2 linked regions of the Rattus norvegicus genome follow. The protein of the gene in region 2 purifies or fractionates together with the protein of the main gene of each other region. This does not show direct contact. Links are inferred from orthologs where the notes say so. Each region holds a gene or a part of one and is shown on either strand. Other genes may lie near its edges.

Region 1 (2,850 bases), on a different chromosome or scaffold from region 2:
GGCATATCACTTTTGGTAAGACATTCCTTAACCCATAGCAAATGTCTCACGAGTCCCGAGACGATATACCCTGTGCCTATTCCTAAAAGTTCAGCACTTTACTGTTTAGAACACATTGTGGTCTTCTCCCAGGGTTCGGGTCCCAGCATGGGGCTCAGGTCAGTCTTGCCTTTGCTGATTGAGACGTCTCACCAGCCCCGCCTTTTAACAGGAGATCCTTCTGCCTGTGGCAGAGCCTGGTCTGACCTGTACCCCAGCCCCAGATGAGCCCTGACTTACTAAACAGCCCGAGTTGGCAAGTGTGAGCAGGGTCTATGCAGCTGGAGAACTGGCTGTGTCCCACAGTAGAATTCCTGCATTTGGTATGTGTAGATCTAGCCAGGAAGGGGAACCCGGCACAGCAGTGCACACCTGTAATCCCATCAATAAATAGAGGCCTAAACCGCAGGCTCCAAGCTAGCCTGGGCTACACACTCAAGATTTAAAAAAGGAGGCATGAATAACACTGGGTGAGTATCTAAGAGCTGTTCCAACAGATCCACAGACAACAGGAGGGTCTGTTGTTTTTAAAGATTTTATTTATGTACGTATGTACATGGTAGCTGTCTTCAGACACATCAGAAGAGGGCATCAGATCCCATTACAGATGGTTGTGAGCCACCATGTGGTTGCTGGGATTTGAACTCCGGTCCTCTGGAAGAACAGTCAGTGCTCTTAACCAGTGAGCCATCTCTCCAGCCTCGGGTTTGGGGTTTCATAAATGGAAAAATTCAGACCAAGACAAGATGACTTCCCACAGGGAAGGGATATAAAATTGTCCCACCAACTTCTTCACACCACTCATACTACTTCTTTCTCTTGTACCTATTAAGGAAATCAACATTAGAACCAGAAGGGAGGACAGTACTGCCTCCCACAGCAGCCTGCCTCTCCAGCCCCTCCAAAGCGCAGCATCACCTGGACTTAGACTTGAAGTTCCCTCTCCTCTGGCGGGGCAGACCTAACTGTTTCCTCTCTTCAAAGGAAGGGCTGTAAGAGAGATGAGGTATGAGCTGGGCAGGCTGTGGGGCATGAGTGACGGCACCCACCCTATCTTGGCTTCGCTGGCCAGCAGAGGAGGGACGAGTGCTGAGAGGAAAGTTTAGCGGCTGGGGCTCAGTCTCCTGTGGGCTTGTACAGAACGACATGCCCTTCTGGAAGTCAGTCGACAACTCAGAATCAGCGGGCAGGCCTTTCCGACCAGCCAGATCAAGCTGTCTATATGAGGAGAGCTCCTGTAGGGAGCACACTAGACCTCCCCTGCTCCTGCTCATCAGGACCTGAGTCACACACAGCATTATGAAGCTCTAGGGAAGAGTTGGGAGTGAGCCTGGATGCAGATGCTTCCGTGAGCAGCACAGAGGCTGAATACAGCACTTAAACCTACCCAGCCCGGTACTGTTTCAGGGCCTTCTTGCTTGTGTTGGTGAGTTCTTCATCAAACACAGACTTCTTGTGCTGCTTCTGCTTCTTGGCTGCACACAGAGAAAAATGGCTCAGAGGCTACTGAGTCCCCTGACACTGAGGGAGAGAATTCCAGAATTCAAGTACACGGATACATCCCAAGTCCTCCAAAGCTTGGTCACTGCCATGCACGCCACCAACACTTGCCCTGGTGCAGGCATCAGAATGGACCTCCTCATCGCTTACCAGGGCCTGCTGCAGGCTCTTCCTCAGGCATTGCCCGTGCTCGCTTGGTTCTGCGGTTCCTCTTGGCCAGCCGCTCTGCAAACATCTGTGCCTTGAGGATTTCAAACTGGGACCTCTCCTCCGCCTAGGAGCAGAGTGAGGGATGAGCACAGAACCAACCAGTGCTCCATGGGACCCTGTGCCACAGGGAGGCCACTCACCGTCATCTCCCCCTTTTTCTTGACGTCCTTCATAAACTTCTTCCTTTTCTTCTTTCCTCTTAAGGCCAAGTCAAACTCCTGCAGAGCCTTGGCAACTGGAATGAAAACAGAGTGGATTTTAGGGGCTGTTTGACTCTGTCAATAATTAAAATGAGAAGTAACTAGGGGGTGACAGCTCACTGAGTAAAGTGCCCTTCAGGGAAGAATGATGGCTTGGGGAGGGTTGCTCAATTATGGTTGCTGGGAGAAGGGGAGTCATACTCCTCAGTGGTGCAGCCACTGGCAAGTTGGCCCTGTTCATTTTTTTTTTTAAAGATTTATTTATTATTTATTTAATGTATACGAGTACACTGTTGCTGTCTTCACACACCAGAAGAGGGCATCAGATGCCATTACAGATGGTTGTGAGCCACCATGTGGTTGCTGGGAATTGAACTCAGGACCTCTGGAAGAGCAGTCGGTGCTCTTAACCACTGAGCCATCTCTCCAGCCCGGCCCTGTTCATTTTAAACTGGCTTCTCGACACAGAGTCTATGTACTCCTGGCTTGCCTGGAACTCAGAGATCCACCCACCTCTGCCACCAGAATCTTGAGATTAAGGGTGAACCCAGCACCCAGAAGCTATTAGATGGGGTAGTGGTGGTGGTAATCTGTTTATAACCCCAATACTGAGGTGGCAGAGAAAGGCTGATCTCTAGGGTTCACTGGCCAGCCAGACTAGGCCCATTTGCTTTGTTCTAGACCAATGAGAGACCCTAGGGCTGGAGAGATGGCTCAGTGGTTAAGAGCACTGACTGCTCTTCCAGAGGTCCTGAGTTCAATTCCCAGCAACCACATGGTGGCTCACAACCATCTGTAATGTAATCCAATGTCTACTTCTGGTGTGTCTGAAGACAGTGGCAGTGTACTCACATACATGAAATGAATAAATCTAAATAAATAAATAAATAACAGGGTGGAT
Region 2 (3,751 bases):
CCAGAGATGTGTAGTCCTTACCTCTCGACAAAGAAACTTCTTTGCAATAGAGACCATTACAGAAAACCACAACCAATCAAAACACAGAGTTGTGAAGCCCAATCCCAATGAATATAACTACAAAACAACTCCTACACCTCAGGCTCAGGGGCACTGTGGAAGAAGGAACTGAAAACCTTTAAGTGCCAGAGGAAAGTTTGCTGAGATGTGTATCCTAGGAGTGACAGAAGCTGTCTCAGCCACATGGCTGCCTAAACATGAGCTGAACAAGAACAACAGACTTGCTCACGCGGATGGAAGCAAGCCCAAAAGCTGTGAACCCTACACAAAGAACTGCAGGCAACTAAGGAATGCTGTGAGTGGGAGAAATAGTCTTCCCCAGGAAAAAGGATACCAATAAGCTATCCAATACCAAATGGTCAGCCCTGAACACACACACACACACACACACACACACACACACACACACACACACGTATATAGACTCAGCAGGTATATCTATGCACTTAGGAACATATATGTACATACATATAAGTATGTAAGAACCATTTTAAATGAGGCCATGAATTTGAAAGAGAGCAAGTCAAAGTATATGGAAAGGTTTGGAGGGAAAGAAAGGGAAAAGGGGATAATGTAATTATAGTCTCAAAAAAAAAAATAATTAAAGGGGCTGGGGAGATGGCTCAGTGGCTAAGAGCACTGGTTGCACTTCCAGAGGTCGAGAGCTCAATTCCCAGCAACCACACAGTGGCTCACACCCATTTGTAATAAGATTTGATGACCTATTCTGGCCTACAGGTGCACATACAGATACGGCAGTCATACATAAAGATAAATAAAAGACAGTTAAAAACAATTTTAAAAAGTAACTAAAAAGAACAAAACAGATTGGTATCAGAAACTTCTAAGTCATCCTATCCCAAAGTCCCTTCGAGCCTACAGTCTCCTTGCAGAAGCAAGAATAACTCAGATCAAGACCCTTTCTTTAGCTGTCTTCTCCACTCAGAATAAATTCCAAGCCTTACATGGCACAGCCCCCATCCTCACCTAGACAGCCATGTTGGTGTTTTTTCAAAACCCTGCACACTGCCAACCTCTCCTACCTACTGGCCTTGGTTTCCACTGCAGTTTTCTCTGCTAAGCACTTCTGAAGGAGAAAAGAAAACCAGCAAGCTTTCACATTAATTATGATTAATAAGCTTATTTAGTAAGCACCAGGTTGCACAGGAAGATGAAACTCTCTAATCTGAGACAACAGAGCTAAAACGGTACTGACTTCTACTTTTGTTAACCGGCTCATCCTTTCCCCATTTCTGTAGGAAAAAAAGGTATAAACCTGCTTTTCTCCCTTGAGAAGTGACCACTACCAATACCATAAGATAGCAAATTCTATTGCTAAAGATAAAACTATCTTAACCAGAAACCTGGAAATTTCAGCTTCTGTAAAACATGTAAGGAGAAAAAGACCACACTAAGAAATACGATTGTGACAATGCCTAACCCCATATAAACCACGAAACACTTCTGTTGGAGCCTGGGCCTCTTTAAGTTACAGCTGCACACTGTTATAAGTCTCTCCTTTATCTGAGTGCCGAGAATTCTCTTTGGGGAAGGTTGAGGCCCATACCCCAACACTTCCATGCCCCTGACCCATCTAAAGGGTTCTGCTTGTTCAGATTTCCACTAAAATGCTACGTCAGAAGAGGACCTCCAACACAACACTAATCGAATTGTCTGTTGCTACTCTTCACTTTACTGCTCCTTCCTAGCTTACTCTAGAGCGCACTTAAGAATCTTTAGCCACGCGCAAGGCCCTGGGTTCGGTCCCCAGCTCCGAAAAAAAGAAAAGAAAAGAAAAAAAAAAAGAATCTTTAGCCACTTTATCTGGTTACTTTTGTCCAACGGGAAAGGTTGACACCGGGAAAGCGGGGCCACATCTGATTGTTTACTTCTCAATCCCCAGTACCTAGGACTGGGCCTGGCTCAACAGAGAAAATTTCTAAGACGTAATGATGTATTCTACGTCCCGTTGATCACTCTCTAATTGTTGTTTGGCAGCTCAGTCAGTCTTCACAACTCCTTCCACAGAAAGCCCGTCAGAGTTCTCCGGCTTCCAGGGGCTTGCGTGCAGCAGCTTTACTCCTGCGGCCGTCTCACGACCTCTCGGTTCCCACAGGCTAGGGAAAGTGACAAGTCCAAGCACCCACCACCCCTGTAACCCACTTACCTTCTTCTTTTCCAGACCTCCCATAGCTCCACGTTGAGAAAGTCCTGAAAGCGGAGCGGAAAGGCAGAGCTACTTCCTACCGCACGTGCCCCGCTTAGGGCCCTGAAGGACCCCACGCCGCCAACTCAGGGCTGTCCGAAAATATGCCTGTGCATGTCCAGAGAACGTTGTGCTTTTTGTGACCTCATTATTTACGACCAAAGTCTCTAAAGCTCAGAAATTGTGGTAGTTCTTTCAGTCCTTTTCCTAGTTGCCAAAATCTATATAGACAAGCTTTAAACCAACATGGAAACTTAGGCAGTTTTATAACCACCCTAGACAGAGTTGTTTGACCACGCGAGCCCCAGTGCATTTCGGGATACAGCAGGACTGAAAGCTGGGAGACAGCCCCACGCCTTCTGGGATGCTGAGGGCTCTGTAGTCTGGTCTGAACTCAGAGATCCGACTGCCTCTGCCTCCAGAGTGCGGGAATTAAAGGTGCAGATCACCACGCCTGGCTGATGTTTTCTTTAAAAACAAAACCAAACACCCCCCCCCCCGGAAATGTTCACTAAATCTAAAGCTACTAGCTTTTGTAATGCTAGACTGACTGGCCAGTGAATTTAAGGGTTGAATTGTCATGGCAACGGTTGCTAGGCGTTGTAAACCCAGCTGGCCAGGTTTTTGTCTTGTTGGCCTTAGGCTCAGGGGCACCTAGTTTGTTTGCTCATGTTAGAATAAAACAGAGCAAAAGGCTACCTTTTACCTCACACGGATAGAAAGGCCTAAGGAACCACTTAAATTTGGGGAATGAGTTGAGACACAGGAGCGGATCTCTGAGTCTGAGGCTAACCAGATGCATGTTGTGAGTTCCAGGGTAGCGAGGGTATTAAGTGCCACATTGTCTCCCCCCCCCACCCCAAAAGAAAGAGAGAGAGAGAGAGAGAGAGAGAGAGAGAGAGAGAGAGAGAAAGAAAGAAAGAAAGAAAGAAAGAAAGAAAGAAAGAAAGAAAGAAAGAAAGAAAGAAAGAAAACAGAAGGCATAACACCCTGGTGGCGCCTGTAATCACAGCGCACAGCAGTCTGAAGCTGGGAGATCCCAAGTTTCAGGCCAGTCTGGGCTAGAGATAGTGTCTCAAAACAGCGAAACCGAGAAAACAAAACAGAGCTGAGGAGACGACCCAGTGGACAGAATTCCACTGCAAGCATAAGGATGTGAGTTCAGATTTGCAACACACACATAAAAGTTGTAGTGACAGCCGGGCAGTTGTTGCGCGCAGGCGCTTAGACGGCAGAGGCCTTCCGGTGGATCTCTGAGTTCCAGGACAGCCAGGGCCACAAAAGAAACTGTCTTGAGAAAGCAAAACAAAAGTTGCGGTGGGGGCCTGTAATCCCAGACCTGGTAGGAGGGAGAGGGAAATCACTAATTGGGCATGGGATAATTGGGTCCCTTAAACTCACTGGCCAGTCAACCTAGCATTACAAAAGCTAGCATTTCTGTTTGAGAGAGAGAGAGAGAGACAGAGACAGAGAGACAGAGAGACA

What was found.
Region 1: the proteins of Pes1 (region 2) and Ddx27 purify together in Homo sapiens (affinity purification with mass spectrometry; 4 studies listed by BioGRID and IntAct, counting the BioPlex papers as one, with this or other methods). This does not show direct contact. The link is inferred for Rattus norvegicus from reciprocal best matches to the Homo sapiens genes PES1 and DDX27.

The regions. Positions count from the first base shown.
Region 1 is NC_086021.1:176,180,129-176,182,978, reverse strand, and holds the end of Ddx27 (probable ATP-dependent RNA helicase DDX27), read right to left. Parts: intron 1,985-2,850; coding exon 1,890-1,984; intron 1,814-1,889; coding exon 1,690-1,813; intron 1,515-1,689; coding exon 1,427-1,514; intron 1,030-1,426; coding exon 958-1,029; intron 865-957; coding exon 846-864; 3' UTR 561-845; downstream 1-560. UniProt on the Homo sapiens protein: Probable ATP-dependent RNA helicase. Component of the nucleolar ribosomal RNA (rRNA) processing machinery that regulates 3' end formation of ribosomal 47S rRNA.
Region 2 is NC_086032.1:83,072,860-83,076,610, reverse strand, and holds the start of Pes1 (pescadillo homolog), read right to left. Parts: upstream 2,266-3,751; 5' UTR 2,252-2,265; coding exon 2,228-2,251; intron 1-2,227. UniProt on the Homo sapiens protein: Component of the PeBoW complex, which is required for maturation of 28S and 5.8S ribosomal RNAs and formation of the 60S ribosome.